2 linked regions of the Caenorhabditis elegans genome follow. The protein of the gene in region 1 interacts with the protein of each later gene in a biochemical or structural test. Each region holds a gene or a part of one and is shown on either strand. Other genes may lie near its edges.

Region 1 (6,607 bases):
TTTTAATCTTTTAAAGCTTCTTTATTTTGCCCCGGTTACGTAAGTGATGGATTTGTGTACGTCTTATTACTTTTTTTTTCAATTTTCTTAACAGCTCACATCGTAAAAAATGCATATAATGCTTTAAAATCACAACTTTTTTTATTATTATTTTTGATTAAATCACTTTTCCCGTTTTCTATAAAACTTCATCTAAGACTCAGATTATATTTCCTTTTTTGAATTGTTAAGTAGTTTCCCTGTTCCCCAAGCCTAGTATTACATCAATCTCCCGCCCACATGCACTTGCAGGTGACTAAATAATAAAAAGTTCCACACCATTTGAAACCGAATGCTTGAACCAAGTAACCTTTTGCAATTGCAGATCATTTGAACCTTGGGTAACATTCAATAATTAGAATTAGTTGGCATTATATTTAAAAAGTTTAAACATCAGTTAACTGTGTAATCAATTTTTTTCTTCATCTTTCTTATCATATAGTTTTTGTTTTGCTTGAAATTTGTTTTTCTCTGATATCATCATTCTGACTACAATTTGAGAAAGATTATTTTTTCTTGATCCAATGTTTTTATTTTATGGTTAGAAAATAGAAAGAAAAAATCTTTAAATTTTGAATCAGATTTGGAATTAAAATAGAAATATTGAAATTTCAGATTCGTACTTATTTTTCATATTTTTCTCTCTATGTGCAATGTTTAAAAGTGGAGTAGCGCCAGTGGGGATTGTTTCTAAATAAACCTATAATGATCCAAAACGACCAAATATCATAATCAACCACTCCTTTTTTTTCCGGACAAAGTTCTGGAAAATTGACAAATTTTTGAAAAATATGAGCTTTTGAGGAAATCCAAAGCAATGTCGTATGTTTTGACTCTTACAATGTTTAAATCCAAATAAATAAAACAAAATTACAATATAAAAAATGCAGAAAAACAAATTTTTTTTTGGTCGAAATCCAAAATTATGAGTGGCAAAAACTGAGTAATTGTCACTTTTTGACAGTAAATAAAAAAATTTTGAAAACTTTTTTGAAAAGTTTTATTATGATATTCGGTTATTTTGGCACCATAGGAATGGTTTTTAACAATTTCCCCCTGGCGCTACTCCACTTTAAGATTTTAAAAGCTTATGTAAAACCACACGTTTGATCGTAAAACGTTTAAGCCTAGTTTATTTGAGCAGTAAATATATCTGCATGGGAGCAAAATTGATTTTAATTATGAGTTTTTTTTCAAATTAGTAACAAATTAACAAACTTGAATTGGTCCGATTTATAAATTTTGATAAAATAAGTGTTGTTTTTCCAATTAAAAAAACTATTTAGTAAAAGTATTGTCGTTGATTTTTCCTCGTCGCTAATTGAAATTTCCTGTCAAACTTACAGTTTTTGTTTAATTTTCTACATAAAATATTCTCAAAAGCGAACCAAATTTTCTGTTTTTTAAACGGATAATAAATCAAATTTTGGTGCTCATCTCTTATTAAAGGCTCATAATATACATATAACGGATCATTTCTAGATGTGGGATATCAAAAATCTCAATCTCGTTCTCCACCCTGACCACATCCCAAATGATGACCCAGCTAATTTTCCAAAAAGTCCCATTTACCACCAATAAGTTCGGTGACGCAAGGTGGGCAATCCTCCGTCAATTTCTTGCTTCCCAGCACTTTACGAGCAAACACACACAGCGACTCTGCCGAAGAAACGAACCACACACACCTTTGACGTTCCCAGGCCCTTCCCTCCACATCATTCGCCGATGTTTACAGCCTCTTCGCCTCTCCAATGTTTTGTCGTTTTTACAATATACAAGGTGTGCGGGTCTGTCAGTTTAGGAGTGGATGGAGGAGGAGGAGGTGGTTGATGGCGTGCGTGTGGTGATGTTTCTCGAAAACAGTGTGGCAGTTTCTTTTTCTCTCCCCCCACTTGCCCTCTTCTGTCCATTAGAAGAAACTTTAATTGAATTTATAGGACTAGAATTGAATTGTAATTGGTATATATTGCTGGAGTAAATTATTAATTAATCGCTTTGATCTCTTGTTTCCTCATTCTACCCCATTATTTATCTATAATAGCTTATGAACCTCACCCCATAAATGCTCATTTTGCAGTGTCACAAAACTGGGAGCCGGCGTTTGATGAAGCTGAAACCAGCAAAGAGCAAGAAGTGAGACGAGAAAAGTCCAGAAAGACATGCGGTGCAATATAAAGCGATTATTCACTTTGGCGATCGGAGTTTTTGCGGCTACACTGGTTATAATCTCGTTTTCCAAGGACAACTATGAAAGTAAGTTCTAAAATTGTATATGTGTTGTTTATTGGTTGAAAATGATTATTTGAATTCGCTAGAAAGGAATAGTGGCGATAGCAATCGATAAAACAAGAGAGAAACTATGCCTAAATGTGGCCTATAACATGTGGGAGTTTTGTGACAATTTTGTCTTTATTGTCTATATGAAAATTTAGATCAAATCTCAATTTCCGAAAAAAATGGAAAAACTTTAGACATCTTTGAATACTATTTTAATCAACACTTTTCCACAAAAGTTTTTATATTGTTCCTAGAAAAGTATTAAAAAAGTAGTAGAAAACTTTTTGACAATGACACGTTGGAAAAAATTACAAAAAAATGTTTATGAACTTTGTATTTTCTTGAAAATCTGGCAGTTTGCCAAAAATTTGATTGCAATTTTTAATAAGTCTGAAACGTTCTACATATATAGATTTTCGTAGTTTACCCATTTTGATAATATTTTTACTAGGCCTATTCGAACTTTATAATATTAAAGGCGGAGTAGCGCCAGTGGGGATATTGTCTAACTACACTAATAATGATCCAAGAAGACCGAATATCATAATAAAACACTCCAAAACATTTTTAGATTTTTTATAATTTCCGATCAAAGTTTTGGCAAATTTCCACAGTTTTGAAAAATATGAGCTTTTGGTGAAATCTGGAGCAACGTCGCATGTTCCGACCCCTGCAATGTTTAAATCCTAATAAATAAAACAAAATTAAAGCGTAAAAAATGTAGGAAAAAATAATTTTGGTCGACTTCCAGTATTATAAGTGGCAAAAACTGAGTAATTGCCACTTTTTGACAGTAAATAAAAAAATTTAGAAAACATTTTTGAAAAGTTTTATTATGATATTCGATCATTTCGGCATTTTAGGAATAGTTGTTAACAATTTCCCCACTGGCGCTACTCCACCTTTCAATTATCTCTCTTTTCTAACAGTTCTTATGATAACTATATTTATTAAACTCTGGGCCTGTATGACTAAGTTGATAGTTTTAAACAAACCATTCACAAGGTTTCTCCTAAATAATCTTGCATCCATTTTCAGGAGAATGGAAACAAGGACCTCAATCAAACGAAGCACGAGCTGTAGGCCACCAGAGTCCCGACTTGTTTCCAGTCGGACAAAATAGTCTACCACACCAGCCAATTCCTCCAAGCCTTGGCGAGAAGGATCTTAGTGATCCATTCAACTTCTTGTTTTCATCTAACAAAATCACTTTACGCAAACTTTATGATCTCACTAAAAATGTAGATTTTGATCAGTTAAGGCAGAACGAGTGCAAGAAGAACATCACGCTTTCAAAGTTCTGGGAGAAGTCTGAACAGTAAGTTTTATATTTTGAAATTTCAAAAATTGAAAATGAAAATGAAAATTTTAACACCAGCTGCCAGCAAAAAAAAATCTCATCACTGTTTCAGGAGAAATGTGCCGGAAGATGACAACTGGGAGAGGTTCTACTCAAACATTGGAAGTTGTTCGGTGTACTCGGATGATCAAATGATTGACAACTTGCTGCACGATCTCAACACAAGTCCCATCAAACACGTGCACATTATGGATGGAGGCACTCAAGTGAAATTTGTGTTCACCTTCAAAAACGATAAGCAGGCCGTGTTTAAGCCGATGAGGTTTGATGAACAGAGAACACCGGAAAATAGTTGTTTTCTTTCTTTTTCAGATTTGGACGCGATTATGAATCGGATCCGAATCATTTCTACTTCAGTGATTTTGAACGACATCATGCAGAAATCGCAACTTTCCATTTAGACAGGTTAGTGGATTAAATAATGGATTTGTTTTTGTTAGAGATGGTTATCAATTTTTTTTTTTAAATCGGTCAGTTGAATTTCAGAGTGCTCGGCTTCCGACGAGCAATCCCCACCGTTGGACGAGTTCTCAATATGACAACTGAGCTGTTCGAAAAAGCAGAGAAAAAACTCAAGAAGACTTTCTTCTTCTCTCCAGGTACAGTTGACATCAAGACACCAAACCTGTTCACCACATCAATTTTATAAAAATAATTCCAGCCAAAAACTTTTGCTTCGTGTCACGATGCGATTATTACTGCGACACGACACATGCAATTTGCGGTCTTCCTGATATGAAGGAAGGCAGTGTGCAAGTGTTCTTACCCGACGAGTCAGCAGTTCCTCGGAAGCATAATAGGAGTCCGTATAGACGGTAGGTTGAAGGCCGATGGATAATAAAATAGCTAGCAGACTGTTTTCAGAACCTACTCGAAAAAGAATCAAGTAGCTGAATGGCAGTCGAGTATGAATTATTGCACGGATAAGGTGAAAACCAAGCGACAATATGCTCATGGAAGAAGGTTACTTGATCTGGTTGATATTCATATTTTGGATTATTTAATAGGTAAGAATTTGCAGTTGTCAAATTTTGAACATAAAAAACCGGTGGTGTTTGCACCCTCCGAATGGATGGTAAATATAGAATAACTGTACGGAATTTTTTTTTCGTATTTCTGACAGTGCTACGAGTATTAAAGTTTCATAACTGTTCTGTATGAGGAGAGTAATTGAAAGACAGCAACTGTACAATATAGAATTTGCTGCTCACAGTGCTTTTTATGGACCTCGTTCAATGTCGGGTGCACATTTACCACAAGTTTACTAACATTTTATTATTAACCAAAGACTAAACTACAAACATCCAGGAAACCAAGACCGTCATCACTTCGAATCCTTCAACGTGTTCAACGATCTTCCTTCCTATGCGATCCATCTCGACCATGGTCGAGCATTTGGCAGATCTGACTTTGACGATGACGACATCATTCTCCCGCTCCGACAATGCTGCATCCTACGTCCATCCACTTTCCAGACCCTTATGAATTTCTACAGTACACCAAAGTCACTGACGAAAGCCCTACACGAGTCATTATCGAAAGATCCAGCCCATCCGATTTTGGCTTATAAGCATTATCCGGCAATGGAAAGGCGGTTAGCAAAAAGTAAGTATTGAAATTATATTGAAAGGTTACCGAAAAACCTGAAAAATATTTTCCTGTGAAAATTCCAATTTGGGAATACAAAACTTAAAGAAAAAAAAACAATTTTCAGTTATGTCTCACATACTGGAATGCTTCGAAAGCCGGGGAGTTGCCGAAGTTCTAGTTGCCGAGTACAACAACCCCGATGTCTCAGACGCCGAGCAAAACGACGAAGAGCAAAGCGAGGAGCATCAGGATAAGAAGGATGATAAGAAAACTGTTTAGTCGTCATTCGTTAGGTCTTCTCAATTTTACCAAGGTCATGTAGTAGCATTTTAAATTTCCCTCTTAAACTTCAATGTTTCTTTGCGTTGCATTCGGGTCTCGAGCTTCTTTCACTCTCTGTTATTGTTGTATTTTTTCTTTTCACTTCCCCCCGTTTTTTAAACCCACAAGAAGGTATCCCATCCATCGCTCCACGGTTTCTCTCTGGTCAAACATTCATTTATGAGGGTCATATTATGTAGGTCAAATCAAAAACAAATCGGTGTTATAATATCGAAAAAATTTCTCGAAGAATTTGAAAAGTAACCTGATAGTTGTTTTGTGTAGAATTTCTGTTGAATATTATGATTATATATTCTCAGCTCTTTTTTTGTCATTTCTTTTTTTTTCCTATTGAATATCATACTTCTTTTATCAAAAGACGCAAACTTACTGGGTATATAATTCTCGCTGAGCAATGTGGCTGCAGTGCTCCATTTCTTGTCAAATCGGTTGTTTTTTTTTCTACTTTCAGGACGAATCATAAATGTTGTGATTAAATTGTTCTGTGTTTTTTTTTTCATTTCCAGTACAGGAATTGTTATTTTCAGAGATCAAGTTTCAAGGAATTTTTTAAAATTTTTTTAAAAAAATTTTAGTTTCAAGTAATTAAAATTTTGACAAAAAGTGGACCCTAATGACCGAATATAACTGTTCAATATTGCTAACAATTTTCAAAATTTCAAAAAAAATTTCAAAATTTCAAAATTTTTTATGATTTTTCAACTTTGCAAAAATTAAAAAAAGCGGCCAAATTAAATTTAAATTCCCGCGCAAATGAGTGACGTCATTTTCAATATTTTCGCGTTTTCTGGCTTAATTTACCAGGTTTCCTTGATTTCATCTTCTGCATTTGAGTTAAAATTCTGTTAGTCAATTTTTCGAACACTTTTCTTTAAAAAAATATTATAAAAAATATTAAAATTGTCGATTATTAGGTTGATTTTGAAATTTCCGCTTTACGGAAAAGTAATTTAAAAATTGACAAACGGTGTTTCTAATCAAATGCTAAAGAAAAAATCA
Region 2 (3,629 bases), on another chromosome or scaffold:
ACCGATATTCTCAAGAATTGATGAACGTTGCAGTGGATTGTATTGCATTGCACGGAATTGTAGAATGTATTGTGATACTATCGGTTCACAAACATTATCGAAATGCCATGAAATTAATGATCAATCGGTGGTATAACCAACGTAAGAACTTTTTTCAAAATGAAATTTCGAAGCAGTTTAAATTATCATCAACTGCAACTTTTTTCAGCGTGTAACACTAAAGTCCAATCAATCCCAGTGCAGGTTACTTCCGGGTATACATCACGCTGTTGAATGCGACGGCGCAATCCGCAAAGCGTCGGCTGCAGTAAATAGAGAGTGAGGAAGTTGTACATGCGTACTGTACACTTTTCTTTGTAGAAGATTTAATTTTTTAGTAATTGTGAAGGAATGAATATGTACGTTATATAACGCATGTGTAGTCTGAAATTGATATTTGAACAACGGAACTTTTAAACCCGTCTGTTCCGTTTGCAGCCGACATCGAACAAGTTTTGCGAGAGACCAGGTATACTCTACTAACTTAGACAATTACAACAAAAAAATACGAAAGTTTGAATAATTTATTGGCATGCTTAACGTTTAACGTGATACACCCCTCTTTCCACATACGTACATTCTTGTAAATGGGTATGCTTGTGCGCCACACTGGTACTTGTCTAAATCTCCATTGGTGAAATAGTTTTTCCATACAGCGTAATCATTTGGCCCCACCACCCAGTTTGGTTGCATAATAAATTGTTGAATACAGATCGTGGGCCCTCTAATTTGTTCTATGAAACTTAATTCTGAAACGTTTTACTTACGGCCAATTCAGGTTATCAGGTTCGTCACGTCCCCATTTGAATCCTCCATTGCCAGTTGTGTCCCCATCGGTCCAGGTGTAAGTTGCATATGGTTCACAGCTTGCAACTTTACAATTCGGGGTGTTAGTTGCTCCGAGCCAAAGCCCGGCAATTTGGCCGCCAGCTGCGGTGAGCTTCTTCAATGCTTCAGAGGCAACTGTCATACGCTCATTGTCATTTTGGAATCCGGTTAGAGTAGCTCCCGACGCAGAACAAGCAGCTTGAGCCTGTGGCTGAGAGAAATACCCATTTGTTACTCCACTATGAACAACCTGAAAACATGTATGTCATCTTTAGTAAATGAAGCCAAAAACTAACATTAATACACCAAACACCATTAGGTCTTTCAAAACGAAGCCATCCTTCATCGCACTCAGGTCTTGGTGGGGGTCTTGGTGGTCTATGTGGTCTATGTGGTGGTCTATGGGGCCTGTGTGGCGGTCTATGATGGCCATGCTCTTCGGACGATGAGCTAGACGAAGACGAAGAGTGGGAGTAATAGCCTCCCCCACCTCCACCACCTCGCCCTCCACCGTCAATAAAAATTGCAAGCGTAGAAGTTGCAAAAAGGAGGAATAGAATAGCAACCCTCATTTTTCTGACTTTCCGGCGCAGAAACTCTTGCTTTTTGTAGGAAACAGGCGGTTGGTAATAAAAAATATAATAAAACGGCATCACCAAACCGGGATTGTAAAAAAACAGAAAATTGTGGTTAACATATTTGAGTTTAGTTTGCATCTTACAATTAAAATGTTTTTCAAAATAATTTTGCAGTGAACTTGAAGAAGAAAATTAATTACAGTTTAAAACCATTAGGTCTCTTGAACTCAAGCCATCTACTTTCACTAGAGCGGGGGTCTTAGAGCCTTTTTCTATGTCGATGTTCTTCTGAGCTGTCTCCAGATTTCACAGGATTTTTGTGCCGAAGGAGAAAGGTAAAACAGTTAATACTTTAAAACAAAATGTTAACTCTTGGAGTGTTGTATTCACATTTGAACTATATTGAATGTATTTCTCACGGTATATAGGATGTTGGTGACTCGAAATGAAGAAAGCGCGGGCAGATATGTAAGTCTCAGAACATTGACATGGGTTAGAATAAGTTACAAATCCTGATAGTTTAATCCCGTAGGTCAATGCCAGTACACTTAACATACATTATTCATCTCTTACTTTAGTGTAATCTGTGACTAAAATTTGGTTTCTCTTCTTTTCTCTCTCTCTCTTTCTCACTCATTCAAAAGTTCCGCGAACACAGGGACTGAGGAAGTGATTGATACCACTCTATTTGATAACAATTTGACACAACTAATTCAACCTATTTTCAACTTTTCTCTTCGACCATGACACACCATATTTGTTACTTGGTAATTTTGAACTTATTCTTCCTTATTATTCCAATATGGTTCCTATCAATCGGCTTTAAAAACCAAGGAAAATGTGAGAACCCGCTTCTTCCATTATGGCTTATTTTTGTTGGTATTTTAATTATTATTGATAGAATTATTTATTGGAAAATTCTATTCAATAAAGTGAAGAAACTCATGGAGGATGTTCCGCAAGATGGAAGAAAGAAAAACTGGTTCGAAAATTTTTGGTGGATATCAATAAAATATGCGTTGGAAGGAGTCATGTTAATAGCGTAATTGATTTCAAATTTACAAATGTCTAAAAACTAGAAAAGTTTCAGGGTTGCCCTTGGAGCTATTTGGAGCTATGAACAACTCGGCCGACCGATTTATTTATGCAAATCTTCTGTTCTTTTCTCGGTTTCCGGATTTTGTATTATTGCTTCCATAACTTATATAGTCTCCTTGATAGGGACTATTTATATATTTTGCATGAATTGTAAAGCAAAGTTTGATAGAAAAGTTACAATGTGGTTGTATAGTTATATTCTATAATTTAACATATTGTATAATTTGAAAATGCATCTGTTTTGCCGACATGACATTGTTTTTACAAGCAATTAAAAATAACACTTAATTTTTAACAAAAACAAAAGGAATAGTTTTTTTTGTTCAATCACAGCTCTCGTTTTCTGCTAAAAATCCATAAAAAAATTTCTGAAGATCGTACAGACAGTATCACCCATTAGTACAGTCTTCATATGTAAACCAATAAAATATAATAAAATCATGATTTCATTTAATAGAGGTATGAATCATGCAATGATTTCTTAATATTCACATAATACCTCCACATTTTGAACTGTCTCTGCAGTTTTTTGCGATAAGGGGAAAAGTTGCAATCGCGATAAGAGTCATCGATAAAGGTTGGTAAAGGTATAAATTCTTTATTGATTCAACTAACTTCACAAATAAAATATGCCCTCTTACAAACTGACTTACTTTGATGCTTGTGGGTTTGGAGAGTCAGCACGAATGTTATTCCATCTTGGTGGGGTACCATATGAGGATGTTCGACTGCCGACGATCAATGCTGTTCCGGGATTTCAAAGTGACGAATTTTCAGCGTTGAAAGACAGTGAGTCAAACTAATAGCCCACTGAGCATAGTCCACCTTTAAAGAAACATGAGCCCTTCCACTTTTCGGCGGAAAATTCATATTCAATCAGAAAAAAGTTTTGCTAGGAAAGGTTTGGAAAGTTGTGGAAAAACCGATAAATTTTTGTGATTTTCTCGATTTTTCTGAACATTTCGGGAAACTTCTTGAAAACTTAAAATAATTTTAGAATCATCTGGATATTTATGGAGTTTTCAAGAAACTCCTAGAAATTTTTGAAATTTCATGAGACTTCTTGACACTTTCTGAAAACTTCTG

The links.
Region 2: of the proteins of famk-1 (region 1) and clec-233, one has a biochemical effect on the other in vitro, tested with the Caenorhabditis elegans proteins (one study listed by BioGRID).

What each region holds. Positions count from the first base shown.
Region 1 is NC_003284.9:15,208,769-15,215,375, reverse strand, and holds famk-1 (Extracellular serine/threonine protein kinase CeFam20), read left to right. Parts: upstream 1-2,116; 5' UTR 2,117-2,143; coding exon of another isoform or gene 2,144-2,176; 5' UTR 2,177-2,198; coding exon 2,199-2,292; intron 2,293-3,354; coding exon 3,355-3,634; intron 3,635-3,728; coding exon 3,729-3,938; intron 3,939-3,988; coding exon 3,989-4,081; intron 4,082-4,162; coding exon 4,163-4,275; intron 4,276-4,337; coding exon 4,338-4,491; intron 4,492-4,540; coding exon 4,541-4,683; intron 4,684-4,984; coding exon 4,985-5,281; intron 5,282-5,390; coding exon 5,391-5,545; 3' UTR 5,546-6,087; downstream 6,088-6,607. UniProt on the Caenorhabditis elegans protein: Golgi serine/threonine protein kinase that phosphorylates secretory pathway proteins within Ser-x-Glu/pSer motifs.
Region 2 is NC_003283.11:16,231,815-16,235,443, reverse strand, and holds clec-233 (C-type lectin domain-containing protein), read right to left. Parts: upstream 1,521-3,629; coding exon 1,164-1,520; intron 1,118-1,163; coding exon 807-1,117; intron 764-806; coding exon 583-763; 3' UTR 546-582; downstream 1-545. Other genes in the region: srh-98 (Serpentine Receptor, class H), read left to right, coding at 1-141, 209-273; F21H7.3 (Serpentine Receptor, class E (Epsilon)), read left to right, coding at 2,189-2,487, 2,536-2,749; gst-22 (glutathione transferase), read left to right, coding at 3,173-3,332.